Linked DNA regions of Cricetulus griseus. The protein of the gene in region 1 purifies or fractionates together with the protein of each later gene. This does not show direct contact. Links are inferred from orthologs where the notes say so. Each region holds a gene or a part of one and is shown in the gene's direction. Other genes may lie near its edges.

What was found.
Region 2: the proteins of Eya2 (region 1) and Acad9 purify together in Homo sapiens (affinity purification with mass spectrometry; 3 studies listed by BioGRID and IntAct, with this or other methods). This does not show direct contact. The link is inferred for Cricetulus griseus from reciprocal best matches to the Homo sapiens genes EYA2 and ACAD9.

The regions. Positions count from the first base shown.
Region 1 is NC_048599.1:13,734,066-13,750,944, reverse strand, and holds the start of Eya2 (eyes absent homolog 2), read left to right. Parts: upstream 1-6,056; coding exon 6,057-6,165; intron 6,166-8,662; exon of another isoform or gene 8,663-8,788; intron 8,789-14,940; coding exon 14,941-14,986; intron 14,987-16,879. UniProt on the Homo sapiens protein: Functions both as protein phosphatase and as transcriptional coactivator for SIX1, and probably also for SIX2, SIX4 and SIX5.
Region 2 is NW_023276806.1:113,475,892-113,492,115, reverse strand, and holds the end of Acad9 (complex I assembly factor ACAD9, mitochondrial), read left to right. Parts: intron 1-707; coding exon 708-882; intron 883-2,496; coding exon 2,497-2,570; intron 2,571-4,755; coding exon 4,756-4,831; intron 4,832-6,423; coding exon 6,424-6,494; intron 6,495-6,715; coding exon 6,716-6,835; intron 6,836-10,492; coding exon 10,493-10,621; intron 10,622-12,002; coding exon 12,003-12,082; intron 12,083-12,794; coding exon 12,795-12,921; intron 12,922-13,148; coding exon 13,149-13,226; intron 13,227-13,637; coding exon 13,638-13,766; intron 13,767-14,402; coding exon 14,403-14,475; intron 14,476-15,183; coding exon 15,184-15,284; 3' UTR 15,285-15,873; downstream 15,874-16,224. UniProt on the Homo sapiens protein: As part of the MCIA complex, primarily participates in the assembly of the mitochondrial complex I and therefore plays a role in oxidative phosphorylation.

The DNA.
Region 1 (16,879 bases):
AAAACGAATGTGAAATACTGTTTCCTACCTTTCAGTATGCGGCTTAGGGCTCTGGGTACTTCCGAGTGTGCAAATCAGTCCCTTGCTGCTTAGAGTCAATGCCTCATTTCAGAGGTTTCAGGCCACACTGCCTGGCCCCATGGCTGTGAGGGTGAGGTGAGACAGACCACTGGGAGTGCATCACAGATCAGGTGCCTTATCTCGGTGACTGGATCCCCCAGCTGGGGACCAAGCCTTCCACACACCAGCCTTTGTGGAGAACCCTTGTATGGAAACCACAACACAAATGTAACATGGAGCTGTGAAACTGGAAGCCTGTGCGTGACTGGTGGGAGTCTTCAAAAGCAGGGGAATTACCAGGGACCGCTGTTAATGTTTGATCAACTTTAACTTTAAAAGTCACATGGAAATCTTGCTCCATGTGGGATGTGTGCATGCATTTTGAGGATACGTGGATACAGGGCTGAGAGATGACTCAGTCATTAAGCTCTTGCCTCACAAACTTGAGGACCTGAATCCAAGCCCCAGAACCCACCCTGGCATTGCACAGTTGTGATCCCAGCACTAGGAATGCGGGGCTCACTGGCCAGTCAGCCTAGGCTATAAGTCATAGTCCCAGGCTCATAAGATCCTGTCTCAAATCAAAGGTGGAAGGTGCCTAAGGAATGACATTCAAGATTTCTACTGATGTTCTCTCTCTCTCTCTCTCTCTCTCTCTCTCTCTCTCTCTCTCTCTCTCTCTCTCTCTCTCTCTCTCTCTCTCACACACACACACACACACACACACACAGGACATGTATATGTAAATTACAGATAGATGATAGACGATAGATAGATAGATAGATAGATAGATAGATAGATAGATAGATAGATGTTGCTTACATGGATAGTCAGATGTTCATTGCAGCATTGTTTGGAATGGGTGAGAGATGGTAGTCATCTGAATGCCCCCACCAGGGCAATGCACTTACAGCTACAAGCTTGGCTTCTACCCAGCAATGCATGTGTTTAAAAGTTACAGTGCAGATTGAAGATAAAAGCCTAACAATTGGGCCTGGAGAGATGGCTCAGTTTTTAAGAGAACCTAACTGCTCCTCCAAAAGTCCTGAGTTCAATTCCCAGTAACCACATAGTGGCTCACAACCATCTGTAATGAAATCAGATTCCTTGTGGTGTGCATGAAGACAAAGCACTCATAAACATAAAATATGTGAATAATTGAGTCTTTCATAAAAATACTAACAAGCCTGTAAATTAGAGCAGGTGCCACCCTAAGATGGCACAGTGATGTCTACAATGACGACCATATTTACATATCTCATACATTAGAGATTAGAGTCATTGTCCAGAGTCTGGTGGGGAATGAAGGGAAGAAGGAAAGGGTTTGGTCCAATCGAAAGATGCTGGTTACTAAGTATGGATTTCTTCCTTTTATTTTTTAAATTGACACAGGATTTTGTCTATCCCAGGCTAGCCTTGAACTGACTATTTGTGTGTGCGTGTTGCTTCTAGGGCACTAGCCTTAGTTTTTGAGACAGTCTTTCTCACTGGGACCTGAGGCTCACTGATCAGCCTGAAGTGTTTGGCCAGAGATCCTCCTGGTTTTTTCTTCCCAACCTGAGATTACAGGCATGTGCCACCATGCTCATGTTTTTACGTGGTGCTGGGATTTGAACTCAGGTCCTCATGCAGGAGGCACTTTACCTTCCCAGCTTTTTTTGTCACTCTCCCTCACTCTTCCTTCTTCCCTCCAGCAGGTGTTAACGGGGTAACAGAATGACAAGATACTGTGTTGGGTCCTATGGGGAAAACAAAATTGATTTCCAAGCCTTTGACAGCTTAGTTGGGAAAGCACATAAAATCCACCAGATTTCAATGACTTTCCTTCTGTCCCATAGCAGAGGCTCCAGGACACACACCCAACAGAGTGTCGTAGTAAGGACATTCAGATATGAGGAGGCTCTTAGGAGTGCCAGCAGAACTGTGTAAAATCCCTAAGTCATGTGACAGAGGTTGGGGGTGTCTCTCTGCTCTGTTCTGAAAATACATATGCCTGGGCTCTCCAGAGCAAATGACTGTGGGGACCCGAGAGAAGAGTAAATACGAAAAAGAGGGGACAAGAGTCAAACATGGTACAATCTTTGGCAAATGCCAGCCCTGTGCCTTGACTGGTCTGGGCCTTGGCTGTTTGGCTCCAGCTGTAGTTGCCAAGCAAAATCATGGTGTTATCCTCTCATTTCCAAGAGAAGGCATGAGCCTAGGTTGTCATGCAGTGTTGTCTTGTTAAACTCTTCCAGCTACTTCTAAGTACCAGGGAGAACGTTATTCATGCTGCTTATAAACTGGGTTTGACAGTTTCACTAGCAGCCTCAGCCTCTGAATGCCACACTGAGACAAGCAGGTGACATTTGGGGACCAAGGTCTTTGCATCTTCTTTCTTTTAAAGTTGTTATCTCCTGACACCCTGGAAAAAGAAAGAAGTGATGGAGGTTTAGTGTAAATTTCTTTCACCTACAATCAGGTGACAGATTTGAAGTCTGCTGCTGCAGAGGGCACAATCCACCCTTCAGGGCTAAAGGAAGGAGACATTCAAACCTCCACCCTGCAGTGCCTGTGGCAATTTGGGAACAAGGAGATGGACACTTAAGATGCCTGTGTGGGGGGGAACAAGAGGACCAATAATTTTCTGTTCATGTAAAGTCCCAAGAGCCCATTTAATTTGTGTGGGAGTCTCTCACCAGTTTAAAAACTTTATATAAAGCACTTTCAGGCTGAGGGGTGTGGTTCTGCAGGTAGAGTGTCTGCTCTAAGGGCATGAGGACCTGAGTTCGAATCCCTAGCACCCACATCAAAAGCTGCATATCATGGCCCACAGCTGTAACCCCAGTGTCTGGGAGAGGAGACCGGGGTACCTGGGGGCTTGTCATCCAGACAGACTAACCAAACAGCCATCTGTAGCCTCGGTGAGAGATGCTGTCTGGAAAAATTAAGGTAGACAAGTGGCTGAGGGAAGACATCCAGCATCAGTCTATGTTCCCAGCTGCACCTGTTCAGGTGAATGTGCCCTCACACACATGCATGCATACACCACACACTGTGAAAACTCGCCTCAGGCATACAGGAGTATAGGAAACCATAGAACAATGGTGTAGCCACAACCTTGCTTGAAGACTACTTCACAGTTGATAAGCTTTCGCCATGGAATATTTCTTTAACTGGGCAAAGACGTGTTATATTTGTTTCTACTGTGGAATATTGCTTTAACTGCGTAAAGGTGGGCTACATTTGTTTATCGATGTAAGGATGTGTGGGTTTAATTCTGTAAAGGCGTGTTGCATTTGTTTCACCTTGCCTGCCTAAGGCACCTGATTGGTCTAATAAAGAGCTGAACAGCCAATAGCTAGGTAGGAGAAAGGATAGGTGGGGCTGGTGGGCAGGGAGAATAAATGGGAAGAGGAAAAGGGAGAAGGAAAAAGAGAATGAGGGAGAAAGAGGAAGGTACACTCAGGGCAAGAAGCCTGGCACCAGCCAGCAGACGTGAGAAGCAGTGAAAGTAAGGTATACAGAAGGAAAGAAAAGTTAGAAGCCCCGAGGCAAAATGTAGACAAAGAGAAACAGCTTAATTGAAGTTAAAAGAGCTCACCAGAAACAAGCCTAAGCTAGGCTGAGCATTCATAACTAATAATAAGTCTCTGTGTCATGATTTAGGAGCAGGTTGTTGCCCCCCCCCAAAAAAAAGCCTGCTACAAGCTTTTTTCTCCCAGATATTAAATAGCTTCAGCTTTAGGGATCCACCCACAGCCTCTCTTAGAGGACTATACCCCGAGGCTGTAGTGGAACAGTAACCGTGGATATGACGGTAGGTTGAAGCCTGTTGGAATTTTACTCATGGCCACTGACAGTTGGGTTTTACGTTGTACTCACTTGTTGGGGAGTGGTGTCCTTCTTTGGATTTTTCCCAACCCTTTGAAAATATGACAGCCTGGGCTGGGGGCATGACTCAGTGGTAGAACACTTGTTGAACATTGCAAGGCCCTGGGTCCAATCTCTAACACTACAAAGAAAGAAATGTGAAAAATTGGGAGCTATTCTTAGCTCACAGGTTGGAGGAGGAGACAGGCTGGAGTTGACCTGGGGCCGGGGGCATTGCTCCAGCTGAAACCTAGATCTGGCTGAACTTCCAGGGTCCCCTTCCCGGCTTCTAGCCTCTCTCCTTCCCAGCTTGCCTCAAGAGATCACATTTTATCATTCCCATCCACAATTCTGGTTTTCGTGTATCTGTCTGTTTTGTTGTGTTTTAGTTATTAAAAACAATTATGTGCATTTGTATGGACCAGTGTCAAAAGAAGCCAGAGAGTCGGATCCCTAGAACTGACTGTTGGCCACAGCCTCCTGATGTGGGTGTAAGCACCAGGCCTGGGGCCTCAACAAGGGCAGTACATGCTCCCAACCCCTGAGCCTCCTCTCCCGCCCTTGCTACTGGGTGCTAAGCACCAGGCCTGGGGCCTCAACAAGGGAAATACATGCTCCCAACTCCTGAGCCTCCTCTGCAGCCCATGCTGCTCTCCTTTGACCTCATACATCTTAAGTGTACAATCCTGACTTGTGGGTCTAGGGCTTCATAGACTCTTTGTCCTCCCATGGCACCCTTCTGCCTCTTTGCTGGACTCTGGCCATCTGTCGCTATGCTGCATGGGCTTCCACCCAGTCCTTGTTATGGCTGCCTAAGAGACATTATCTGAGCATGCTGTCTGCCAAAGCCCAGTCTTGTGGGACGCATGGGCACTTGGGCGGCTGCCTCAAGCTCGTCCGTTCTATACCTTGCCTCTTAACCTGCACCATGGTCTTAACACAGATGCATTTTAATGGTCTCCATCTCTTTGATTCAAGTCTGCAAGTATCAGAACTAGAGAGAGTTGAATCCATGATGTTTCTGTGTTGGACCTGGTCCTGCCATGGTGTGTCCCATCAGTGTCGTGGTAACTGGCCATGCCCTGATGGCCTCAGCTTAAGAAATGTTCAGTAGGTGTTGCCTGTTACTGTTTGACGTGGCACTCAGTAATGAGTATTGTGAGTTAAGTCTAGGCCATTGAGCACGGCTACCCCGCATGCTGTGAACATTAGCTGGCAGCCCTGTTTCCCAGTCATAACATACAGGCACTTAGGAGCAACTACAGTTACAGCGCCAGCATGAGATGTGTCAATGAAAAATGAAACCCCATGACACCTTGTGTTCCCCCACGCACACACTCCCACCCCCAACCCTGTGACATGTCAAAATCTGGAGCAGTTCCAGCCTCAGAGCTTGCTTTCTTGGAAGGGGCAGCTGCTCTGGGCTGTGGGGCATACCACCTAGAGACACTCGGGTCCCAGGGATGGAACCCAAGGCCTCACATGTGTAAGGCAAGCACCTGCTCTCTAGACCTCTCTTTACTTTTCATTTTGCAGCACGGTCTCACAAAGTAGCCCAGGCTGGCCTTGAATGTGCTCTGTAGCCCAGGCTGGTATTGAACTTAGGATTCTTTTACTTCAGCATCTCGAGTAGCTAGGATTACAGAGGTATGGCACCAGGCCCCATCCTAGAGGCACTTGTGAAATTCTGTGACTGTCTTCTATGCCATTTTCCACCTGTACAAACAGCATACTGCCCACTTTGCTACCACAGCCAACTCTAAGTGCCCTTGCCCAGCTCCTCTAGTCTATGGGAGTTGAAATACCAATCCTTCCCCCTACCCTGTCACCCCTTCCTCTCCTGGGATGTCTCCCCAGTTCAAAGGCAATCCAGAAGAGAGACCAAAACACAATACCTCTAATGGGAAATTCCAAGCACAGGAGGGGTGTTTAGATGGAGTGGGCGTGCTCTCTAGGGGCAAGGACTTCATTTCCATTTTGACTAAAAGTTTGTGAATTTGTATTATATGGAATCTATTAGAAGGTTAGGAATAGGTAATCAGCTTTTAATATTTACATTCTTAGGGGGAAAAGATGATTCATTAGCAAACATGAATAATAATGAATAAATTAATTTCCCTTTGTCTCCACTCAGGTACAAGGCGATGTTAGAAGTGGTGATCTCACCCAGCCTCGCAGCAAGCAGTGACTGCAAGGAATCCCTGACGTGGAGTGAAGACAACGCCGCTGTGGGGGCTCTGAGTGACAGAGAAGGTAGGCCTCTGCAAAAACTTGACTGGACGAGTTAAGAGGGCCTTGTTCATTTGTGACAGGTAGAGGTTCCCATGGTACCATTCCCAGAACCTGACATTCCCACTGATGGTTCTAGAACAGAAGTTGGGTGCACATGGATCACAGTCTTGTCCATCATTCAAGGGACAGGTGTACTCGGTCTTGCCCTAGCTGCCCTTCTTGGTCTCTGGTTCCGAGAAACCCTGACATTTGCTATGAAGGACAGTCGCCCTGGGTGCATTCCTAACCCTACCAAAGGTATGACCTGTTGGGTCTTCATCTCTGTCCCTCAGCTCCCTCCTGCCATCACCTCTTCCCAGCAGGAGTCAGGTTCACAGGCTTCTGTGCCCAAGACGAGGCCTTGTCTGCTGTTGCTTTCAGGTTGGGTTGAAGTCAAGGAAGCAGAAGACAGTTAAAGCTGTTAGGAAATTATTGGCAAATGATGCTGCCAGACTAGTTTTCTCTAGAACAATCCAAGCTATTGTTTGCTCTGCTGGGATTGTCAGCCTTCCTGGTAGAGCCTGAGGTGAGCTGAAGGCATTAAGCTATCACACTGAAGCATTAGGCTTAACCCTTTCCCCAGCAGTGTGCCCAGGGATTCGCTGCCAGTGGTGTCTTCGGGTCCCCCTTGTTCTCTTTCATGGTCCCTGTGTGATGCCAGATCATCGGACAGGAATGTGACAGGACTGTCACAAGTAACCAAAAGGTCATGTGTCCAATGCAAAGCAACATCACAAGGAACTTTTTGAGAGAAAATCCAGGTTTCCCTGAGTAATTATTCTGTCACCAAGACGATGAATGGCATTGCCCTTGCATGCTGGTTATGACATTAGGCAACCCTGTTCAAAATCTTCACTGCAAGGGTGTGGGCTCTGAGACCAGGACTGGATGGTGGGAGGGAGGCACACCTGGCATCTACAAGCATCTGTGAAAATGACCCTCTGAAGGGTCAAAGACCTTCATAGTTTTCTCTCTGGGTAGATGCCCAGGCCAATTTCCTACTGTGTTTCCAAGTCAGCATGGCAAGGGTCTGGGCTGTGGGTGTGGGGCATCCAGGTCTGACTCCCAGCCCAGCCACTCCCCAGCCATGCAATCTTTCTAAGTCTTAGTTTCCAGCCCTGTTGAATGGGCTGTGCTAATGGACCACTCTGTAGAGTGCCGTACAAGGGATTAAATGAGGTTATGGTGTGTGGCAGGCCTGTCCCACCCCGGGGGCATGGTAAATGATTAAGTAGACCATTGTCACCCTCTGAGTCAAATAACCACAGGGATCAGAGGCAGGGTGGGAGTCTGGCCCTGGGCCAGTCCTTTGTTTGGCCTTAATGGTAAGTTGTACATAGTTGATGGCTTTGTGAAACATAGGGAGAGTGTACATCAAATCTACTTTCCCCTGACTCCTTCAGCTGCAAGAGGAACCTGGCAGCAGCAGAGAGGCAGTTGTCCCTTAGATAAGTCCCTGTCCCTCCCCTTCATCTTCAGTGTTCCTTAGAACTGACTCTGTGGCAGGCCCTTCCTCATCTCTGGTTCCAAGAAATGCTGACATTACCACAGAACAGGGTCATTTTGGGGTGCATTCCCAGCCAGGTCCTGTGAATCTGGCTTCCTCCTCTCCTCCTTCTCTTTCACTACCACAGCAAACATTTGGTGGTAATTTTGAACTGCGGGCTGAGGGTGTGGCTCAGTGGTAGAGCACCTACCTCAAGGTAAAGGGCTGGGAACATAGCTTGGCAGTATAGCATTTGCCTAGAGTCTACCAGTGACAACTCTGCATTCCTATATATGCATTTAAATCCCCTTCCTATTTAGTATACAGCTCAGTGCCTGGCTTATAGAAGACCTTAAAAAATACGGATGGATGAATAGGTGAGCAGGTGGGTGGGTGAGTATATGGGTGGACAGAGAGGCGGATAGAGAGATAGGTGGGTGGTGGGTAGATGAGTTCTTGGGTGGTTGGGTTGATATATGGGTGAGTGGTTGCATAGATGGGTAGGTGGTTGTGTGTTTTGAAGCATGGATGCAGATCTTGAGGGATGAGCTAATTTCAAGTCAATATTAGCTTTGAACCACAAATACAATTTTCTTAGCTTCCCCTGCCCAGGTTTGTTGCCTCCCTAAGGCTCAGGTCATGGCAACCTCCTCTTGGATTCTATTCTAGTTTCATCTCTGTTGCTCTGGTAAAAACACTCTGACCAAAGCGACTGAGGGGAGGAAAGAGCTTAATTGGCTTATACTTCTGGGTCTCAGTCCGCCATTGAGGAAAGTCAGGGCAATATCTCAGAGCAGAAACCACAGACGAATGCTGCTGTCTGGCTTCCTCCTAGACTCACGCTCAGCTAGCTTTACTATATTATATTCATTTATCACGTGAAAATTACATGGTGATTCGTATGTCTTGGTTTTCTCATTGCCTATTCTTTAAACTTATAAACCAACCAATCTCACCATCAACACCATGCTCCCTTCGAGCTATCTTGTGTGTTGTAGTCCTTCTTGTGTGTATCAAAACTCATTCTGAACTATGAGCTCTGGTTGTAAACGAAGACAGGCCCTTGCAGGCCTCGTCTCTGCTTTTGTGCACTAGTTGAACAAACCACACATGCATGCTACCAGCTAGCCTTCTTATACATTCCAGGACCACCTGCCTTGGGATGGTGACACCCACAGTGTGTTGGGCCCTCCTGTTATGATAAATCTTTCCACCAAAAGCCGCCGAGCCCCACTGCCACATGCGCGCTTTATGCCAGCCGCCCGCCCGAGTTAGGCCCAAATGAATACACAGAAACTTGTATTAGGTACAATGCTGCTTGGCCAATGACTAGGATTCTCATCTGTTAGCTCAGTCTTAACTATCATAAACCTATATATTTTATAAGACTTATCTTATCGGATGCCTTATTGGTGTCCCTCCTTGCCAGTGGCTCATATCCTGCCGCTGGTGGAGGAAGGGAAAAGGGGGACCCTTCCTGTTTCTCTTTTGCTTAAATATGAGTCTCCTTGCTATGTCATTTCCTGCCTGGATCACCACTTCTCTACTACATTTCCCAGAATCCTCTTTGACTCCCAGTCCCGTCTAACTTGCTGTCTCATTGGCCAAACGGTATTTTATTTAACAATCAATAAGATAAACATACACAGTACATTCCCCATCACCCTCCTGTATCAATTAATAATCAAGACAATCTCCCATAGACATTCCCATAGGCCCATCTAGGCAATTCCTTGGTATCAGTTGAGGTTTTCTCTCAGTTGACTCTAGGCTATGTCAAATTGAAATTTAAAGCTAACTAGGACACTCTTGACACTTGTCAATTTGACCCACAAACATATCACTTTTAAACTATAACCTTTCAATACCTTGTCCCCAAGACCTTATGTTAATGTTATATTGTAAAAGATCATACAACTTTTTTTCTTTAGTGGTATTTTATTATTCACCTTTAAGTTATTCTGAAGGTTGGTAGTAAACTTATTGTTAACAATATAAATATTTTTTGTAAGTGTTGAAATTCTCTTAAAATCCTGGGAAGACAGCAGTCATTCCAGATCGGACTTAGAGAAATCAATCCGCCAAATATCTCCATCTTCCTTATTTTCACTTCATCTTCCTTACTCAGACCTCCTGACTTGTCTGCTTATTTGCTGTCATAAACAGACAAGGTCACACAGCTTTAAAAGCACCAGTCTTTAAATTTTTCAACACTTTAAAAGTCCAAAGCCCCTTTTAAAATCCAAAGTCTCTTACAAGACTTTGCATACTTTCTTATTCCAAAAGGGAAGAGCTGGGGCCTATGGACAATCAGATCCAAGCAGAACTAAATCCAGCAATGTGAATCCAAATTCTGTAGCGCTGTGTCTGACATTTGGAGCTCAACTCTGAAGAGCTTGGGCAGCCCCGCTTCTCAGGCTCGGTCATTTGCAGCACACATGGCTTGTCTCGCAGTCTGAGGTCAGCTCCACACCAAGCTTGTCTGTCTCAAGTGCTCATGTAGGCAATGAGCACTCCCAGCATCTCCAGTGTGGAGGCTCCAGTGGAGCTGAGGCTGCACGCTCACCTATGGCCTCTCTTCAGAAACTGCAGTCCTACCACACAGTGCCAGGCCTCAGCTGCACTCCGTGACTCCTTTAGTCATGTAGCATTCATGCCTTTAAAACCAGTGCCACATGGGGACTCTTATACATTTTCAAGTTCAGGGGCCACTGGAACATTAGCTTCTAGGTGACACCATGAGGAAATACTTTCCATTGTCCCAGTGAAACACAGAGAGAACTTTATTTACCTCAGTGAGCTGGTCTCTCATTAATCGTGGATGGTTCTTCAACCTCAACTGAGCAGCAACCATGGGTTGTTAATTCAAAATATCACACAAATGGCACAGATGAAGACCTTACTTCCCTCTGAACCCTCAGAGTCTGCTCTCCACCATTCATACTTCTCATTGCATTCTTAGCATCCAGACTCCCACAGAACATTCCATTAACCTCCGAACACGGAACCATTTTCCCCAGCTTAAATCCCAAAGTCCTCCACAGACTTCCAAAAGAATACTCCAAAGGCATAAAATCCCACAGCAACATCTTGGTATTGTTTTCTGTCTCTGCTGCTTTTCTGTTACTGTGATAAAAGCCCTCTAACCCAAAGCAACTTGTCGGGGGAGGGAGGTAGGCAGAGAGTTTGTTTGGCTTATACTTACTTCCTGGTGACAGTCCATCATAGAGGGAAATCGGGGCAAGAACTTGAAGCAGAAGGCATGGCGAAACATTGCTTGGTGACTCACGCTCTGGCTCGCTCCTAGGCTCATGCTTGGCTGACCTTGTTAATACAGCCAGGGATCATTTGCTTAGGGATGGTGTCACTCACGGCGGGCTCCTTCCTTCATTCCTACTCAAGGGATGGTTGGATCTGAGTTATATCCTGCTTTCTGGGAGGAGGAGGTAAAAGTTACCGATACCAAGAAGCCAAGGGGAAGATTCCCTTTTTAAAGCACAGGTGCTTCCTGAAAAGTTTCAGCCATAACCCAGTTTCAGAGGAGGTGAGCCCACCCGGGAGCAGGTGCCCGGCTCTCTGACTTCCTGCCTACTCCTATCTCTGACTGAGTTTTCCAGTGTTACTCTGGCCAGCTCCAACCTGAAGCTAGAGGGCTGGGTGCTGACCCAAGGAACACAACCTTCTTTCTGCTCCTTTTCTGGGCATCCTGGCTGCTTCCCGGAGGCCGCTGTGGGTACCGAGGATGCTCCATAACCCACTCTAGGAACAAGGACGCCAACTGCTGGGGATTCCACCATAGTTCACACACTCCCTCTGCAGCCCGTGTCTGCCCTGTGTTCTGGCTGCCTCTTGCTATGCCGACTGCTACTAATTTTCCTTTAGGGAAAAAAAGAGAAAAAGAAAAACATCAACCTGCTTTCTTTTTTTTTTTCAAGACAGGGTTTCTCTGTGACTCTGGAGGTGAAAATAAATTCCCTGTAAGAGAACAACTCAAACCAGCTTTAGAAAAGTTTGACTTCTATCGCTTCGTTATACTCTTAACATGCATTAAGATTAACTTGTGATGGTTTCACAGAGAAGCACGTATTTATGACCCCCTAAATCATACTCTGAGACGTGTTTCTCAACCACCTCTGCTCTCTCAGAACACTACTTCCAGGGGCAAAAGAGGTATCTGTTTGTCAATGTGCCCCATGCACTCACAGACCAAGAAACACAAATAAGACAAATTTTTTTTCTTTTAAAAAAGAAAAAAAATGGCAGAAGTGATGGAACAGGCACCCCAGTTGGGAAGGGCACCCAAAGCTTCGCTGAGGCCACACCATCTCTTGTTAGAGTGTCACAGCATTGCCTGCGTCTACGGCTGCCACTCTGGGGTTAGTCTCACCCACAGTGACCCTTTTTATCAAACCACTTCCTGAACATTGGCTACAACAAAATGCAGAGTGACCATTGATCTGAATTCCTTCCAAAGACTAGCAGTCACAGAGCAGGAGGAGCACAGTTTGGGGGGACTGGGAGCTCTGTTCTGTCCCTGGGGAGGACCTGGCTTCCTTCCTGCTACATCCAGAGTTTCTGGCCTACATGGAGTCCCACCCCAGTCCCACCATCCCTAGACACAGGCTGACTATCAAGGAAGAATATCCCGTTCTATCCAGGAGAAACAAGGGAAGGGGTAGGGGAACCTGCCCCACCTTCTCCATCCCTGGTGTGTCCCATGATGGCAAACTTTAAATGTGGTACAGGAGGCAAGAGGTTAAAAACTATTTTTCAAAAGAATAGTCTGCAAGAGAAAAAGCACTCGGCACTCCCAAGTGCCCCCCCCCATCTATTCCCCTGGCTGGGTGGTGACTGCAGATGTGAGGAGCCCTGGAGGAGGGAGGCCTGGCTGTGCGGAAAGGGGAAAGACAGGTGTCTAAAGGGTTCGGGGAGCTGATGAGGAAGCCATAATACTGAGCAAAGCCACCATGCCAATCACTCCTTGGCAACCAGAAGGAAAGACGCTCACTTCGAATGCCTGAAACAGCAAGTGAACTGGAGTCCATAGGGATGTTGTTTCCGTGGGTTCCATTTTCGTGAGTACTTGCATATTTATTAATGAAAGCATTAAAAGTGTTTAACTCAATGGTTTCTGAATTTGCTCTGCACACTTGAGCTTTTACCAACAGTGAGACTGGCTGCTTCAGACACAAGTGGTACTTGGTCCCAGGAACCAAAGACCAAGAAAGGGGGCCATGTGGGGCCTGCCTGGAGCAAAGACCTCAGGAACAAGGGAAGTATCAGGAGGCACCAAGGAGGTGCCAGAACTTTCCTTGACATTGAGTTTGGTTTTTAAGTGTGGTGTGTAAAGAATATACTTTGTGCTATCACACCATGCATGTGCGTGAACACACACACACACACACACACACACACACACGCTGATCCCTGGTCCTTTTTACCATGATCAATAATGCTGACACTGTGTGTGTAGTCAAGCAGACAGTTCTGTGTCTAAGCTCAGCTGTGACTCTAAGCAGTAAAAGGAGACACAGCAGTTTGTCTAGGGACTTGACTAGAGAGATCAGGCTCATGTGACCCTTGGGTTCACATTCAGTTCAGACACATTCAGTTTTACGGAGCTTCTGGACAGAGGATGGGAGGAGGGTGGCCTTGTCTGTGTTGTGGTCCTATTACCCCATGGTAAGGATTAAATGAGATCCTATGTCTAAGTCAGTGGGTCTGGCTCACAGTTGCTCCTGAGGGAGTGTTTGCTGCAATTATGCTGATGGCTGTCTCTTGGCTAAGACAGACTTGGTTGAGACAGACTGTAGGGCTGGGCCACCAGGGTTCGAATCATAGGCCCTGAGTGAGTTATTCAGACCCTCCAGGCCCCGGCTCTTCACCTGGGCATTAAAATCATTAATGCAGAGAAAGTTATTCGAGGGAAGCTTGGCACATGGGGAATGCTGGGTAACAGATGGGTGTTATCAGCATATGGGATGTGTGTGGGAGAAGTTTCTGAGGCTGGAGGTAGAGGAGGCTGCCAAGTCTCAGAGTGAGGTGAGGGAGTTGGAGAGAGGCTCAGAGTCAGGGGACTTGAAGGGTAACTTGGTGAATGGGAGCATCCTGTCTCCATCCGGAATTCACCCGGGCTGCTTGAAGACATGGAGTGGTTTTATTTGAAATGACGAGGCACAAAAATACTCCCCAGGGAACCACCCAGATCAATTACACCCTAGAAAACAGCTCCCAGCTAAGTCTGTGACCTTAGCAGGTGTCTAGGAATGCAATATGAAACATTTATGTCAGGGCCTCAGGGGAGAGCTAAGAAGTGCCTTCCTTGGATGTTCTGGAGCTAGCCTGACCTGAACCCCACCAACTAGAGTTAGAGAGGGACAGGAAGGTGAAGCCATCAGGTGATGTCCAGGCTGGGGAGAAGGCTCCGTCTAAGAAGCAATTGCCACAGAAGGATAAAGACCTGAATTTCACCCCCAGAACCTATGTAACAATCCTGGGCACGGTGGTCTGCATGTGTAATCCTAGCACTGGAGAGGTGGAATCAGGAGGGTCCCTTGGGACCTGCTCGTGAGGCAGCCTACTGAAGTGGGCTTGTCCCTTGGCCAATGGGAGACCCTGACTCAAAACCCAAAGTGAAGCGTTCCAGAGGAATGACACCTGAGGTTGTCCTCTGGTCTCTGCAGGTGTCCAGACTTGCACCTGCCCCAGAAGAGGAAGGAGAGGAGCAAGTAGGGGAAGAATGGAGTGGGGAGGGAAGGAAAGGGAGGAGGAAGAGGAGGAGGAGGAAGAGAAGGGAGAAGAGGAGGGGAGGGGAGGAAGGGGAAGGAGATGGAGGAGGAGGGAAGGGAGAAGGGGAGAATGAAGATGGGGACAAGTCATATGGTTAGAACCAGTCTGTGTCTTCATCCTGCAGCTCTTGGTTGCCTCCTGTGGCCATGTGACCTCTCGGGCACAAACCTTCCATCTCTGGCCTGTTTCCCCTTCTGGGCTGCATGTGGGGCGTGGGTTCTGCGTGGTGTTCCTAGATGTGTCCCATGTGTGTTCTCTGTGCCTGCTCTCCTGCTGTCCCTGAAAAGCAGGTGCACCAGAGAGGGGCTGTGAGCCCACTGCCAGGAGAGTGCCCTGCCTCCCAGAAACTTCTGCGGTAGAGAGAAAGTCCCCAGCAGCAGCAACTTTCGAAGTTGCTCCCTATACAAGTCCCTCTGAAGCCACAGTTTGCGCTGAACATGCCTCAGTAGTAGCTAAACCTTCATGTGTTTCTTTATCTGCAGGCGTCACTAAATCGGCCTCTCTGAGTGTGCCTCAGCTCTTTGTGAAGTGAGTACTCTGGCCACGCCCCCTTTATCTTACTCCCTTTTCTCTTCTTCAGAGGTTGGTGGCTGGGGTGGGGGTGGGGGTGCTCTGGAGCTGTTTCCCTATTTCCCCAAATAGGGATGCCAGCATGGACACAGCTAGATGGCCTTGCACAGATAATCTGACTGCCTGAATCTTGGTTTCCCATCTAGGAAAGTGGACAGCCAGTGGCCTGCCCCACAAAGTAGATGAATGGAGTGCTTAGAGTGGTTCTGGGTGTCACCTGCTGTTTCCTTCTTTCTGGAGTTTACTCTTTTCCCATTCTTTCCTTTCCCTGTTTAAACTCCTCCCCCTCCCTCCTTTCTCCTCCCCTGCCTCTCTCTGTCTCCCTCCCTCCCTCCTTTCTCTTCTCTCTCTCTGCCCCTCCCCCTCCCTCCTTTCTCCTCCCCTGCCTCTCTCTGCCCCCCTCCCCTACCTCCTTTCTCCTCCCCTGCCTCTCTGCCTCCCCCTCCTCCTTTCTCCTCCCCTGCCTCCTCTCCCCCCCCTCCTTTCTCCTCTCCCTGCCTCTCTCCCCTCCCCTCCCTCCTTTCTCCTCCCCTCCCTCCTGTCTCCCTCCCCTCCCTCCTTTCTCCTCCCCTGCCTCTCTCTGCCCCCCTCCCCCTCCCTCCTTTCTCCTCCCCTGCCTCTCTCTGTCTCCCTCCCCTCCCTCCTTTCTCCTCCCCTGCCTCTGTCCCCCTCCCCTCCCTCTTCCTGCTGCCCCCATCTCCCTGCCTCCTTGTTCCTTTCTTCTGCTCTGACATTCACCCAGGACTCCTCATTCCCAAAGCCATATGAGCCCTAGGATGAGAGAGGAGGGGACACAGCCCTGCCTCAGAAGCCCAGGCTAGTGAGGAGACAGAGCCTGGGCTCCTCTCCTGGTGGCATGAGTGTCCCACCATAAGATCAGCCAGGGTCCAGAAGCCCAGAAGCATTGGGTACCAGAACCTTCCCTAGGCAAGCTCCAGTCCAGCCCTGGGAGCTGAGCACAGAGACCAGGTTAGACCTGGCCATAAACCCCCCTCTGCGTGCCACAGAGCTCTGATGAGGGCACTGGCTCAGGCTGCTTCTCCATCAGAAGAGGTGTGGCACTGGCAGCCACTGAGCCCAGTAAAACCTCCTGGACTGTTTCCTCAGGTTGGAGAGTGCCACTGTCCTTTCTGGGGCGGGGGGGGGGGTTAGATAACAGTGTGTGTGTGTTCATGTGAGTGGGGTGTGTATCTGTGTGTTCTTGTGAATGGGGGGGGGTACGTGTGCAATATGTGAGGTGTGTGTGATGTGGGAGGGCGGGGCGGGGTGTGTATATGTGTATGTTACACTGTGTTATGTGTGTATTATGTGTTATGTGTGTGTATGTTCAGTGGGTATACATGTGTGAGTGCAGGTGCATTCATGCAGAGGCCAGACGTCCACAGTGGGTGTTTCCCTCAGTCCCTCTCCACTTTAGTTTTTGAGTCAGAGTCTCTCACTGAGCCTGGAGCACATAGATTCAGCTGGGGCAGTGAGCTCCTACCCCTGCCTCCCCCGTGGTAGGATCACAACTGTGTTTCATGCTCTGCCTCCCCCATGGTAGAATTGCAGATGTGTTTCTCGGAGCCTGGCTTTGTCCATGGTCCTGGGGATCAGGACTCAGAGCCCCATTGTTTACCCCTGAACCATTGCCCCAGCCCCCATTTCTCTGGGTTTTTTACTTGAGCCCCGGTTCAATCCAAGTCTCTTCAGCGGGCTGTGGCGGGACACTGGAGTGGACAGGCTTGGCTTCCCACCTTGAACTTCTATAGAGAAGGCAAGATGTGACCCAAGAACACTGTCAAATAGGGGCCTCAGTTCAGCAGGAAGTCCCGCCTTACAGACCCACTGACTATACCACAGGCTTCCACA
Region 2 (16,224 bases), on another chromosome or scaffold:
ATTCTGTCCTTAAAACTACTCTTGTGTGCTTATTTTCAATTCTGGTTCTGCAAAATTTCAAAGATGCAAAGTATAGTGCAGTGCACTTCCATGGCTCTGGTACCCAGCTAGAGGAGTTACACACTCACGTTTGGTAGTCCTTCCTCTGTTGACATCACTGGATGGCATTTTTGTGATTTCATCAAGGATTGCTGAAAGATAGAACCCTGAAATAACATTAGCAAATGGGGGCAAGGATAATAATGGCTCTTCCCTGGTTAGCATTGAGATTTCCCTGTTCATCTCTTACTCTTTCCCCCTGATCAGTTGTTTCCTTGAATTCAAAAGTAAATAATTCCCATCCGTTGCAGACTGGAGAGCACGCTCTTCCTCATCCCATTTTCGCTTTGGTCGGTTGATAAGTAAATACAGTATATTCAGTTTGTACATTTGCATTTTTGCAGCAGTGATGAAAAGGCTCCTTCTTATTTTAAGTCTGCCAGTGGTCTGGGAATGAGTGGAGCTCAGAGGCCATCTTAGTGTCCTTGGCTGAGCTCCATCCCTTCTCTAGGGAGACTTAAGTTGAGTGTGCTCCTGTGCTCTTCCACACAGGCTTGTCTTATACGGAGCATTCTCCATGTCTTGCCTGCTGTGGAGCTGCTTCATGTCTGGCCTGAAATTAAGTAGGTGGATAGAGCTGATAGGTGTCTAATCTTTTTTTTTCTCAGGTTTGGATCACCAATGGAGGACTAGCCAGTATTTTTACTGTGTTTGCAAAAACTGAGGTGGTTGATTCTGATGGTTCCATAAAAGACAAAATCACTGCATTCATCGTAGAAAGAGACTTTGGCGGAGTCACTAATGGGAAACCTGAAGAGAAATTAGGCATTCGAGGCTCCAACAGTAAGTAGTGTGGCTGATGCTTATTCATGAGCCTGATAGAGAGACTTGAGAGACAGGTTCACTGACCACTATAAGAACTATAACGGAAATGGCATTTAATTACTTGTGGTTTCAGTTAGTTTCATTGTAGTAAAGTCAAATTAAGAATGCAGTTGCAACCTATGCTCCTTGGTGCATTCAGTGTTGTTGATTCTAGGTGAGCGAGGTCAGTTGGAATCTCAGCCTTCGTAGGGCAGTAGTGGACATCACACAACCAAGGCACGTCTTGGGTAAACATCCTGTGGCAGGCCACCCCATCTCTCTTCCTACTGTCCCTTTCATTGCCTTTCATTGCCTAGTCAGCCGTTGCTTCAGTGGAGGCTGGCGTCCTGTTTGTTGCCCTCTGTTCACCCAGTATGGCCATGGCATTTATACTATTCTCGTGGTGTAGTTTTAGAGTTACCTTCCTGCAGGGGACTGAGTTCCTGGCACATCAAGGCCCACATCTGTATACCCTATGTCTTTGGAGCTGAGCATTTCAATGGCGTCAGTTACCTGTTGACAGCTGGGAAGCTGACGCCCCAGCAGCATGCAGGACCCCAAAAGAGGGTCCAGGAACATGAGGTCAAAAGGAAAGGCATGTCTTCCCCATACCCAGTGGAGTAGCCTTTGAAAGAATGGCCAGGTCCTCTAGCTCATGTAGCCAACCCTTAAATATGACCAGCAGAGAGAGAAGTCAGTTTGGTGGCATTCCACCCCCACACTTTGCCAGAGCAGCAGTGGAATGAAAAGCATTGAGTCCATCTTACAGCACTTGGCCTGACTCTTCCTTGAGCCCAGACCTTCCTTATCCTGAGTCTCTCTGGTTCAACATGCCAGCAGGTACGTTGTCTATGTAGCAGAAAGTGCAGGCAGTGCTTCAGGGAATATTGTGCAAGGCCACTGTTCCAGCCCCTGCCTTGTCCTGTGAAACTTGTTTCTCATGGTTTCACTCAAACTCACCAATGGAGCCTGTGTTTCTTCCAGGATTGCTGTGGTCCCTGGCTACAGTAGCCCTGTCTGTCAGACACCTTAGAATTTAGGTTACAGCAGCAGGATTTTATTTCTTATGGTTCTCATGGAATGTTTCAGCCTGAAGCCTGTTGGTGAATTGGGTTTAGGTTGTTGTGTGTCTGCACTCATCTGGTTGGCTACATTCTATCTGCTAACACCCCACCCAAGCTGGGAAGATGCTACCCCATAGTACAGGGGTGTGGCTGTGTTAACATAGCAAACAAGACTTAAGGTCTGAGGAAATTCTGGTGTTCTCCATATGCTTTTCTGTCTTTGGCTATTTTGGTAGTTTCAACAGTTGTTAAATGTTGCCTTACAAAAGAATGACAGCCTCCCTTACAGCCCCATCTCTCTCTGTACTGTGCTGTTTATTTCATCACAGCACTGACCATGCTACCATGTCCTTGCATTTATGGTTTGTCTTCCTAGCCAAAGAATGAGCTCTGTGAAGGCTTGAATGCAGCCTTTCTCACTTGTTCTTCAAGATGCTAAATGAGTGACTTAGTCAGTCACTGGCCTCTGGGACAAGACCAGAATGGTTTGCATTTGTTAGTCACGATCTTTAAATTCCCTGTGTCTTAGCATGTGAAGTCCATTTTGAAAATACCAGAGTGCCTGTGGAAAATGTCCTTGGAGAAGTTGGAGGTGGCTTTAAGGTAAGTTGAAGACCAATGTAAGTGCTGAGCCATTTCACATGTGAGTCTTGTGTTCTGCCCTGTTCTTTCTCCTAGCAGGCTAGCCTGTTCTTTATCTGTGACTTCGTATGGCTTTGGGCATAGAAATCAGCCCCATAGAGTCTGGAGAAATGGCTTTGCTCCTAGAGGAGGAGTCTCATTTAGGATGAGGAGTCTTTATTCTCCTTGGAGACCTCCTTTTTCCTGAGTGAGGAATGGAGTTCCCCTCCCTAGTAAGTGAAGAACAGGCTAGTGGGCTCCAGAGAAATTCAAGTTCCACGAACCGAGCACCGATCATTCCCGGCCCTAAGCTTTTCCACTTATAGTCATGTTTATATTTGAAAGATTTATTTTCCTGAGATAGTCTCACCACAAAGTTCTGATTGGCCTGGAACTCATTATGTAGACCACACTGGCCAGAGATCCACCTACCTCTGCCTCCCTAGTCCTGAGATTAAAGACATATGCCACCTATTCAGCTGGATTTATTTATTTCTACTTTATGTATGTATGTGAGTGTCTGCATTTGTGTGTGTGAATTGCATATGTGCCTGGTACCTGGAGAGGCCAGAAGGCATCTGATCCTCTGGAACTGGAGTCACAGGCTGTTGTAAGCCACTGTGTGGGTGCTGGAAAATGAACCCAAGTACTCTACAAGAGCAGCAAATGGTCTTAACTGCTGAGCCATCTCTCCAGCTCCAGATTGACATTTTATTGAGAAATGTTTTAATGTGACATTTAATTTACCATTTTAAAATGCACATGTCTATCATTTTTAATATATTGTCTGTTGTGCAATCACTGCTTTTAATTCCAGAAATGCCATGCTTCCAGTTCTACGCCCATCTTTTGGCAACTGCTGTTTTCTTTTTTTCTTCTTTGGGTTTGTGGATGATATGACTGGACTCATACAGTGTATTTTGTGACTGGCTGCTTTCACATCATATTCTCAAACCATCATCCATGTCACAGCATGAGTCCATATTTCATTCCTTTGTCTGGGCGGATAATGTTCTACTGTGTGGGGAAACCACATCTTATCAGTTCATCAGGTTGAGTTGTTCCTTTGGCGCTAGGGTCAATAGCACTGTTGCGAACTTTCATCTTCAAGTTTTTGTTTGGAAAATATATTCTCAGTCCCTTTGGGTATAAATGTAGAAATAGGGTTGCTGGATGTATGGAGACCAGCACTTCTTTGAAGAATGCTTTCCACACTGCCTGTAGTGTACGAGGTTCCACATCTTTGCCAGCACTTGTGGTGGTGTCCATTTTCAAATTAAAGCTGGCTTCATTCCATTTCTTCACTTGCGCAATCTGGTTGGTGAGGAGACTCCTGGGACTCTGGATGAGGTTCATAGCATGTCAACCAGAGCTGTGTACCTGCCTGGCTCCCAGGTGTTGACTGTACTGGATCAGAAGAAAGAGCAAGGAATGAGGCAGGCAGGGTGCTGGCTAAGCCATCAGCCCCTGTTGTTTGGCAGCTGGCTGCAGTCACTAGAGTCATCTATGTATATAGGCTTTCCTGTCAGTCCTGAGAACAGAACACCTGAGTTCAGAACACTGCTCTGAACCACAGCTGTTTCATCTGTAAAGGTGGACAGTTCTTGCTGCTCGCAGTCTAGGTTTCTGTCCCTTCCCACAGACGAGGAGTACTGACAGGTGCATTTAGAGTATGAGCAATGACTTTTTGTGTGGTCAGAGCGAGGCCAGTGATGTTGATAGAAAGGTACAACAGTGACTAAGCTACCTAGTTTGAGGGTTAAGAACTGCTTGCTTCTGGCCTGAAAACAGGCAGGGTGATTAACTTGGCCTGGATGCTGGCTTGGAATACTGTAGACACTTGCCTTTGCTTTTATGAAAACATGTGGGTACAGCTGGCTCCTTCCGCCTCCTTCAATGCCTCTGTATAGTAGGAAATTACCAATACGGAGTCAGGTGGAAATATAAGGGTATTTAATAGGGAAAAGCCTTACTTACAGAGCGAACCAGCCAGCCGGTGGCAGTCTGTACAGCAAGAAGCAAAGAGAAAACGAAACCGAAACGCAGACCCCCTACTCACTCTGACCACGCCTTCACAAGCCTGCCCAGGTACTCCTGTAGCCAGCCCCTAAGAAGGCGTGGCTACAGCTTCCCCTACACCTCTGGACCTTTTCTACCCTCCCTGCAGGTAGCCATGAACATCCTTAACAGTGGGAGATTCAGCATGGGCAGTGTTGTGGCCGGGATGCTCAAGAAACTGATTGGTAGGTGTGTGTATAGTTACTTAACTCATTGCTGTGACAAAATACATAAACAGCTTTAGGAAGGGAGGGTTAATTTTGGCTCACAGTTTGCATGCCTACTCCATCTTGGCAAGGAAGGTGTGGCTATGAAAATCTCTAGCTGTGGCTGCTGGAATGTGAAACAGTCGGCCACATTGTGTGTGAAGCTGGGAAGAGGAAGAATGAATGCTGGAACTCCCATGGCTTTCTCCTCGCTTACTCAGTCTGGATCCTCAGCTTATGGGCTGATACTGCCCATATTCAGGTGGCTCTTCCCTCCCCAGTTAAACATCTCTGGAAATCTGTCACAATCAGTGCCCAGAGGTGTCTTGTGGTTCTAAGGCCATCAGGTTAACACCAAAGATTAATCTCCATAGTAAGGAGTCAGGAGTCAAGGTAAGTCAGGAGCAGGAGCCTTTTGCAGCACCAACTGAATACCAGGAATGTCTGTAGTTTCTGCTGGGTGGGCAAGGCTGAGCTAGGCCAGTTGGACAGACAGCTTAAGTTTAGCATCTGGCCTTTAATTTAGACCAAATGTATTCCTTCCCCAGAGCTAATATATTTCCATATTACTAGTCAGGCATTCTGTCAGAAGCATAAAGCTTTGCTGCTCTATCCAGCACAAACATGGCTATTTAGTGAACTTCAGTCCACCAGCCAGCCACTAAGAAAACATTGGCTCTGATCTCACTAGAGCCCATGGCTCTTTGGGCATAGATGTTGGCTGTGAAGTGCTGGAAACAAACACAACCTTGTGTGTTTTGTGACTATTAGAGTTTATAACAATGTAGGCCCACATTTGGACTCTTCCCTCTATTTGGTTAGTAGAGAAACTGAGGCCCAGAGAGGGTGGTGGATTACACAAGCCCATGCATCATGACCTAAAGGCAAACCTGCTTGTTAGGCTCAGGCTCCTTTCAACATGCTCTGTGGCTCTCATCAGTGAGAGTTCTCACAGTCAAGAAACATGTGAGTATAGGAACAATTAGAGACCAGCTGCAAGTGGATTACACCCAAGGACATATTTGGGAAACAAGTTGCAGGCAGAGCCAGAGTCACTAGTGCCCTCTGAGGCTCTTAGAACCCGGCACTATCAACAGCCAGGCACCTTGAGGCCCCCACCAGAGCTCTGACATGAAGGTACCTTCATGTTGTGGTTAAGTATCTGTGGGCCCACTTCCACATCTTTCTCTGATGCCTGGTGCACCTGGCTTATGCTAGAGCCTCCAGCCTTTCTCCTCTTTGTATTGTCATAGCATTTCTGTGACTTGGGCGATGTGTTAACAGAGGTAGAGTGCTTCCCTTCATACCCTCACAACTGACTCAGCATTCCATGTTCTTAACTTCTGCCTGCTGCTTATAAGCCCCATGAGGAGCAAGAATTCCACCTTTAACCAGCTGCCAGAAAGTGGGAACCCTGGCTTTTGGGCTTCTCATCTCAAAGACAAGGCTCTCATAGTTCCTTCTGGGTGTTGAAGGGTCATCATGCTGCTCTTAGGAAATAACTTTCCAGTATTCAAAAACCTCTTTTGTGTTTGTTTTCTGTTTGTTTTGACAACTCTGTTCTTCTTTAGAACTGACTGCTGAATATGCCTGCACGAGGAAGCAGTTCAATAGGAATCTCAGTGAATTTGGTTTGATTCAGGTACTGAAGACTTTGATTCACGGGATGAGAAGAGGTTTTCAGTTGCTGGTTCTCTGTACTGTGCCTGTGGGCAGGGACATAGGAAGAAAACTGTAATAGGCATTATTGCCCCCAGATAGCAAGGCTTCTGATGTGATTTGCTTCTTGGGAGAAGAGGTTAGGAGACTGAAGCCTATGCACATGCAGATTGTTTATTGATTTTGTTTTTCTGAACATTTCAGGAAAAGTTTGCACTAATGGCTCAGAAGGCATATGTAATGGAGAGTATGACCTACCTCACTGCGGGGATGCTAGACCAACCAGGATTCCCTGACTGCTCGATCGAGGCTGCCATGGTGAAGGTAATCCCAACTCAACTAGAGCTAGCACTTGGGGGAGATACAGCCTTTCTGATCCGTCTTCCTCTTTTTAGTTGATAGAATGACTTGACTTACGATTTGTGCCCACACAGCTTTCTGGGTTAGCAGGGCCCTAGGTTGAAGCTGGGAGGAGTGATAGAGAGTGATGCTCACCCTAGGGTGAGTCTGCAGGAAAGCTCACTGCTTCCCACTATGGATGGTGCCCGTTTTTACTGATTGATCATAGTCTATAGCACCAGGAGAAGACACAGATGTTAAAACTTTATAGCCATGTACATTAGCTAGACTCTCCTGGGAAGGTATGCCATTTTTTTCATAGTTGACATCCTTTCTTCTTGATTGGAACTTGGTTTTATAACATGTTTAATGAGGTTAAAAAGAGGTCACTGGTTACAAGAATTTAATTTTTTTTAATTTTTATTTATTTATTTGGTTTTTTCAAGACAGGGTTTCTTTGTGTAGCTCTGGCTGTACTGGAACTCACTCTGTAGACCTGGCTGACCTTGGACTCACAGATCCATCTGCCTCTGCATCCCGAGTGCTGGGATTAAAGACATGCATCACCACCACCCATCAAGAATTTGATTTTTTTTTTTTTTTTTTTTTTTTTTTTTTTTGGTGTGTAAAATGACCAAGTTGGCTATTGGGTCATGTCCTGGTTTGCCTGAGTGTTGCTATTTCTTAGAAACATTGCTCTAAAACAACCTTTGGAGTTTACAGCAGGCCCAAGTTTATATGCCTGTTTCTGGGGCTTCTTCAAACCATCCCTTCTCAAGGAACTGCTTCCTTTTCTGCAATAAGGATTCTCCTAGCTTTACCTCTGGGTCATAATTTTGTCAAATAACAGAGTTGGGTAACAGTGGTACTGCTTCAGTTGAATACTTAAGGGTTAAGCAAGTAAATCTAGGATCATGAATAGACAGAACCTGGCAAACATCATACAGCAATCACCTTCTTTACCTCTGTGGCATTGGGTGTTTCTACTCCTTTGTTCAGCCACTTTTCTGCCAGATCCATTAACTTTGGGTCATCACTATCAGTTGGGACTATTTCCCTTGGTTTCTCGGAGTTTTCTGATATACTTACTGTAATAGCAAGAGCCTCTAAGTTGATTTTCACAACCCTCTAGCTTTGGTTTTTTTTTTAATTTTTTAAATATTTTTTTTATTTTTTGAGAATTTCATATAATCTCTTTTGATCATGTACTTCCCCCTCTTCAAATCCCTTTAAATCCTCCTTCACTTCCTACACACTCAATTTCATGTTCTTTCTCTCCTTTAAACCCCCACTTCTCCCAGAACTAACCCGGGAGCCTTGTTTGTGTTGTATACCTACTGAGCGTGGGGCTTGGGTGGAGTTGGGGTGCTATGCCAGTGATGTTCCATTAAAGAAAACTGATTTCTCTCTCCCAGCTGCAATCAGTTGCTTCTTGGCTAGGTCTTATTTGTGCCCACTTCCCTTTCTCCATGTTGGGGTTTTGTCTGGCTTGAACTTGTGCAGGTCTTGTACATGCTGCTGTAGTCCCTGTGAGTTTATATGTGTATCGGTCCTATTGTCTCTGGAAACTGTTTCCTTGAAATCATCGACTACCTCTGGCTCTTACAATCTTTCTACCGCCTCTTCCGCATTCATTCCTGAGCCTTAAGAGTAGGGCTGAGTGCTTCGAAGTCTCTCCCTCTCTTCACGTTGTCCAACAACCTTTCTTATTAACCATCAGTGAACAGGAGTAAAGGGGTAATTGTGGCTTTATTTACTAAATAGTTGACCATGGAAAGCTGTATCTGAGAGGCCAAAGAGATCAGTCATCTTGGGTGGCCTAAAACGGCAGTTTCCAAGGATATGGATGCTTAAATGTTGGTGTCAGGGAAGACCTGAGAAAAGCACAGCTTGGCCATTACATGCTAAACAGCAGAAATAAACTTTGGAGCCTGGACTCAAATCCTAGATTTGCTATTCCCTAACCATGTCACCTAGAACAAGTCACTTAATATCTCTGAGCCTCCATTATTATCTATGAAATGGAGATAGTAAAAGTACCAACATAAAATTATTGAGAAAGCTAAAGGTGCTAATAAACAGCTTAGAGTACCTAACATAACATGTCACCTATTATTGGTTAGTTAATTTTATAATATCAAGGTGTAGTCAAGATAAACAGTAAAATTCCTATTGAAAACACACACAGTAAAATATATATGTGTTTAGATAGCAATTTCTTGCTTGGGTTTTTTTGTTTTGTTTTGTTTTGAGGTTGGGGAAGTTTTCTTCTGTTTTGTTAAATATTTTCTGCGCCTTAGACCTGGGTTTCTTCTTCTATTCCTTTTATGTAAATTTGGTCTTTTCCTGGATGTTTTGTGCCTGAGTTTTTTAGATTTAACATTTTCTTTGACCATTTCTTCTATCTTCAATGCCTGATATTCTGTCCTCTGTGTCTCATACTCTTTTAGCAAGGCTGACCGCTGAGGTTTTTGTTTGACTTCCTAAATTTTCCATTTCCAGTTTTATTTCAGTTTGGGTTTTCTTTAGTGGTTCTGTTTCTACTTTCATGTCTTGAGCTGTTTTCACTATTTGATTATACTGTTTGTGTTTTCACAGATTTCATTGAGGTTTATTGGTATCCTTTTTAACATCCTTGTCTTATGCTTCAACTATGTAGAATTTCTCAGGGTCCACTGTAGTAAGGTTACTGGGTTCTGGAGGGGACACATTGTCTTGACATGTTTGCATTTTTGTTCTGGTGTCTAGGCATTTATAGTTATGATATTTAAGATAATTCTAGGTGTAGGCATCTGGTCTTGTCTTTGTTGGGTATGAGTTCTGTTTCTTAGTTTCTTTTGCCCTCTCTGGATCTCAGGAAAGGATCTCTAGGCTGTGGGTTGTCTGGTACTGAGTGCTTCTGAGTCCAGGTCCTGTGTGGCCACTGGGGGTCCCAGGTAGAAAGTGTTTGTAGAAATTGGCAGATGACTTAAAGGAATGGGCTAGAAGGTAGGGTTGAGTAAGGGTCTTTTTTTAAAGCTATGATACAAGTAACAACCCCACTTTCAGCTGGACTTGAATTCTTAAGAGAGATGCTGGAAGATGTGACAGCCTAGAGAAATGGACATTGGAGAGTCTGAAGTGGTCCTGTTTAAGCTTAGGAACAGGGGCAGCTGTGTGCTGGGTGGGATTCATTTCATTCTCATGTTTTCCTTGGACACCAACTACTGACTGGTGTCCAAGAGCTGACCCTCTTCCACATGCTAACCCTAGAGCTGAGTGTCTCTATCCATAGGATGTTCCATAGACAGTGCTCATGAGAGCAAAATGGAAGTCCGTGGGGATGGCAAGAGTAATCACACTTCCTAAAGGGAAAATCTGGGTGAATTACAAAGCATAGGAGTTGGCACAAGAGACATGACACAAGTGTTGGGGATGGAACACAGTCTGGTCACTGGTCCAAGAAGGCAAAAGGACTTGACTGTGCCTACCTGGAAAGTTCCTCCTGGAACCACTCGTCTCCAAGCTCAGGTTTTCTGCACATTCTCTGACTGCATCCTGGGCAGCAGCTCCCTGTAGCTTAGGTCTTGCTCTTACAAGACTGAAGGGAATGTCTTGTGGAACACTCCCACCAGGCTCTAACCTTGTCTGGGTCTGTGACAGGTATTTAGCTCTGAGGCTGCCTGGCAGTGTGTGAGCGAGGCTCTGCAGATCCTTGGGGGCTCCGGCTACATGAAGGACTACCCCTATGAGCGTTTTCTGCGTGATTCCCGCATCCTCCTCATCTTTGAGGTGAGTGTCCCTGCCGACTGTGCTTCCCCGTACACCACCTTAGTGATGTCCCTCTGCTCTTCCAGCCTTCCGAGCCCTGAGAGAGGCTGCTAAGTCTCCAGAAATAGCCTACAATGATACAGGGCAGGCTGTATCCTCTGGTTGGACCCTCTTAACCATACACCAGTGCTCCCACCCTCCCTTGCTTTGTAGAGGGGAATTTAGACTGGGAGAGCCCGAACAGCCCCCTCAGGTCACACTCCTGAAAGCCCTTTCTACTGGGCCCATAACTTCCCAGTTGTAGTTTTGCCAAGTTACTTCTGGCTGGGCAGGATTGGATAAATCTGTAGGAGAGTAGGGGTTCCAGTCCCAGATCCCACTCTGCTTCCATTCTGTACTCCCTAGGCTATGATTTCACTCTCAGTAAATTGAAGTTAAGCTGACTCCTGTGAGCTCCAATGGAAGGTCTCCTTGGTCTTTTGGTCCCAGTCAACATCTCTGCCTTTTCAGTCAGCCACAGCCTAATAGCAGAAGGCTGGGCTGCCCAAAGAGCCAGGCATGTCTGAATTTTGTCTTGGGGTTGCCTCTCTATTGGCCCTTCCTATAGGGAGAGGCCTGGATTTCTCAAAGATCCTGGCTAGGTAGTATAGTCCAGCAGGGTTTGCTCTTGAGGCCATAATTCATAGAAGGGTGGGGAAATTTTGATGTGAGGCAGACTTTGTTCAGAGCTAAGGGCAATACCACAAGAGTCTCCATGCCCAGCTTTTCCTCCCAGGAAAACTTCTCTCTCCTTGGTGTCAGTCCAACTACAGGATGGTGCTGGCTGTGAAGCGTGGGTCAGTAGCCTGCAGCTTCCTGTTCTATAGTAGAATTGTATTAGAAGCCTAGTAGTCCTGTTGGGTACTGCAGAGAGAGAGAGAGAGAGAGAGAGAGAGAGAGAGAGAGAGAGAGAGAGAGAGAGAGTGTGTGTGTGTGTGTGTGTGTGTGTGTGTGTGTATTCCCCTGAGCTATTGCTGCTCAGCTGTCTATAGTTTCCCTGGGGATTCTGGTCTAAATGAGAGCCATGGGTTATCTGTTCCATACTTTCTGTGTCCTGGTCATCAAATCCCACCCAGAGAGATCTGGCTTCAGTCTTATAAGGCTTCTGAGACCTACAGAAAGATCTGGACTATGCAGGATAGGCTATGAGAGGTAAAAGTCCCAGTGGGAGGCCATACCATCTAGTCAGCCTTATTACCCTTCCAGTGTGTTCGCTAACACCAGGCCAAAGCCTGCCTCTGTGCCTTGTTCCCAAGCTGCTTCAGTGGCAGCCTCTATCATGTGGACAGTGAGTAGTGGCTGGATTTGTCCAGTCACAGACTGCACTGCTGGGCTGCTTTGACCTTCACACTTCTGGCTGCAGGGAACCAATGAGATTCTTCGGTTGTTCATTGCCCTGACAGGCCTACAGCACGCCGGACGCATCCTGACCTCAAGGATCAAGTATGTGCTATTTTCCCATCTGTTCTTGGTCCCTACCTGTCAGCAGCGGCCAGAGAAAAAGGCTGCCCAATTTTGGAACAGTGGGTGGGGCCTGCAGCCTGCACACAGGCTTACTGCAAAGCTGGTCCATGCAAATACAGTATCATTTGCACAGTGGTGACAGGGTCTGGAACCCACACCTCTAGCTTGCCCCTCACCAAAATCAGCAGGAAGGGCAACCTGCCCAAGTTGGCCTCATTGCCTTTTAGAGTCACATTGTCCTCTAGGCACATTCAATGCTATTGTCCACCTCCCTTGCTAATGCTCATTTCCCACACTGGAGGGTCCCTGGTGTTTGGAAGTGTTTATTATGTTGACTGGATTGCTGAGACATCCAGAAGCTAAGGAATTGAGTGGTGTGCCACTAATAGGTGGTGAGTTTGAGACTAGTTTCTCTTCTCTGCCCCTCTATCTCTGCTGCCCTCATTCCAGGGCAGAGCAGTCAGATCCCTGCTGGAGCCCATGCACAGGATGCTAATAGTATTTTGCAGACTCCTTAACTGTTTGGAAGCTGGCCATACAACAGACTTCTCCCTGCTAGGAGGAGAAAGCCATCCTGCATGGAACCCACATGCTCAGCTATAGAAAAGCACAGAGTTCCATGGTGTCATACTGTTGGTCAGTGGGAGCCAGCTGCAGGGTCTTAAGTCACAAGACTGTGAACTTCCTGCAGAGAGCTTAAAAGAGGCAATGTGACTGTAGTCATGGAGTCAATTGGTCGGAAGCTTCGGGATTCACTGGGCCGAACTGTGGACCTGGGACTGACCGGCAATCTTGGCGTTGTACACCCTAGTCTTGGAGTAAGTATGCCCAGCACCTGTACTTCCCACATTTGGGTCCTCTTCCTGCAAGGTATTCCCAATCCAGGAGGATGTGACTAGTATCTGGGATCCTCCAGGAAAGTGGGGAGCACTCAGATGCTCCACTCTATCCCTTCCCTGTCTCCCTGGAGCTCCAGACTGCGCCTATTAGGTGGATCAAGTGTACATCATGGAAGAGATACTAAGTCTGTCTTCTTCACTAATAGGACAGTGCCAACAAGCTGGAGGAAAATGTGTATTATTTTGGTCGGACTGTTGAGACCCTGCTACTCCGTTTTGGAAAGGTAAGTGGGTCCTGCCGGGTATGGGTTACTGCCTCCACTACTTATGCTACTGCGTGGTCAGCAGCCATGGAACTACTTTGGGCCCATTGCCCACCTGTGAGTCCAGGCCTAGAACAGAAATCTTGATCTCCATGGGGCTGGAACTGCTAGCCAGCACTGACCCTGGAAGGGCCCTTCTTGGTGAATTATTCATAGTGTTCTAAACACCTTCCAATCAGAGGGTGACTCTGGAATACCTGGAGGAGCCACCTACCTGGGGCTGAACACAAGGAGCTAATCTGTGGGAAGTCTTGCTGAAGGTGACATTGAGCACACTAAGCACCAGACAAGTTTCTGAGACCTGTTTAAACGTTGACATGTGACCAAGTATAGAGAAGGGAAAAACATCATTGGTCACCACTCTGTCTGCAGACCATTGTAGAGGAACAGCTGGTATTGAAGCGGGTAGCCAACATCCTCATCAACCTGTATGGCATGACAGCTGTGTTGTCACGGGCCAGCCGCTCCATCCGGATTGGGCTCCCAAATCATGATCATGAGGTAAGTGTTGCACAGCCTACACAGGAAATATTACAAAGAAGCCATAATGAGTTTGATAGGATTGTGGCTACTGGGATAGGCCCTTTTTCCACTGTGCTTTAATGAAACCTGAGCTGAAGAAGGGAGACATTGGGTAGTGTGGCCTGTTGGAGAGTCCTGTACAAGAGAGACTGAGTCTCCAACCCCAAGTGGTAGTGGCAGAGATGGATGGATGAGTTTTCTGTGCTATGGTTGGCCATGTCAGTGCTGCTCCTCATCCTAGCCTTTAGTTTTGTACAGGAGACAGATAGGTGAGTGACAAGCCCACCCTCATTCATTACCTGCACTATACTTTCTTCACCCTCAGGGGGAAGCAGGGTTAGTCACTAGCAAATCCTGTTTACCTGGATCTTGACACATGCCATTCTAGAATAGCCCATGGGTGCGCACTTCACAGAGACAGAAGCTGTCTCAGAGATCCTGAGGAGCTTGCTCCTGGTCAACCTGCATTTGGTCAGAGTGATATGTAACTTCTGAGCCATGCTTTTTTGCTTCAGATGTCATCATGCCTCGTGTGGCAGTAGGCTGGGTGTTTTTGAGTTCAAAGATCAGCTTCAGAGCTCTTAGTTGCTGTCCTTTCTGACCGTGGTTCTCTAGGTTCTGTTGGCCAACATGTTCTGCGTGGAAGCTTATTTCCAGAATCTCTTCAGCCTGTCTCAGCTGGACAAGTGTGAGTGAGATGGCCTATGGGAAAGCAAGCACCCCAGGTCCAGCCATCGTCGATAGCTATTGATGCTTTATTTCCTCCCAACCTTGCTGCCAGGAAAGTGCTTTGGGCTCACAGCAGAGGCCTTGCCAGATCAAGTACATCCCTAAGAGGGTATGGTATGCTAGTGTCTGTTTAGGAGAGGTCCCGAAAGAAGAAGACAGTCATTATGCCTGTCCCTTTAGCCATAAACTCTAGCCAAAATGGCTTATGGAACTGCAGAATGCTGTAGAGGTGGTGAAATGGCTTCTCCAAATGCCTTGGCCCTGGAAAACATGTTACTTTAGGCCAGCTTCTCTATCTGAAATGTTTTTTTTTTTTTTTTTTTTTTTCTCTTTTGTAACTGCCTGTCCATGTTTTGAAATATAACCAGGTTTTCTTTGACATGGTAGTCTAGCCCTGTTCCCTTACTGAAGATGTATAGCCTGCAGCTGTAGAACCCAGCCCAGGAGCCCTAAAATGACTTTCAAGACTGTGATATACTGTGGAAGGTAGTGAGACAACCAGGAGCCAGTTACCAAATAGGGCCTTCCCACATAAGACTTGGGGGGTCTAAAGGTTATACTTGGGTACAGTCCCATTGGGGAACTAACTAAGGTAAAAACATACTCCTTGGACGTGTTTGTATTACCATGTTGCAAAAGGATTACCTATGCCTTTCTCCTCTCACAGTTGCTCCAGAAAACATGGATGATCAGATTAAGAAAGTGTCTCAGCAGATCCTTGAGAAGCGAGCCTACATCTGTGCCCACCCTCTGAACAGGACATCCTGAGGCTGGGACAGTGCCCTTTACCTACCACCTAGTCCAAGTTAACATAATTCAGCATCTGCAGAAGACTAAAACCTTGGAGTCATCCTTGTGGACTATATGTCATTTGTATGCACTAAAGCAATAGTGTAAACAACTATTGCTCTAGGGAAGAGCAGTAGCTAGGTTTTGACCTGTAGGCCCTGCATCTAAAGAGATCCCATCTTCTGAAGGGCAAGGAGGGAAAAAGGAAGGAAGGAGGAAGGAAGGATCAAATTGTTGAAGAAAGAGTGAAATAAAGATAGAATCAGATTGCTGGTGGTTCTTATGTGTGGCCACAATTATCAGTGATCTCAGTGGAAACGGCTCACCTCTGTGGCACAAGGCTCACACGGAACTGAGGTGTGGGTAGCCATTCCTAAATTTAAACCATACATTGAGAAGGAAGCTGAGTCCATACCACCTACTGAAACGGCTTATAGTCTAAGGATCCATCTTACAGAAAAGAATGTAAAATGTCACACTCAGTTCATGTCCTATCTAGACTTCATGTCCTTCCAATACATGACCATGAGAGGTCTTAACAATAAAATGTCTTGGATGTTCTAAAGTTTGTATTGTAGAGATATTTTGCTTCCTTTGTTAGGATTTTTCCAAGAGGTTGGTTAGTTTTATTTTAATAGAATGCTGTTTATTCTTTGATAATTTCATTCGTGTCATATCTCCCACCTCCCCCTTTTTATTCCTCTGGCACCCCCAACATGCTCACCTCCCTACTTATTTTTTTTCTCCCAACCCACTGAGTCTAATTAGTTATGCATGGGAATATTGACTTGCAGGCTTGCTCTTGTGCATAGATTGTTTCCATCCTGTCTTTAGCAGCTCTCTCTGGACCTCAGGAGGGGGTTGATATGGATGTCCTGTTGAGAGCTGAGGACCCAGCAGTTCCTCTTTCTAGCTGCCT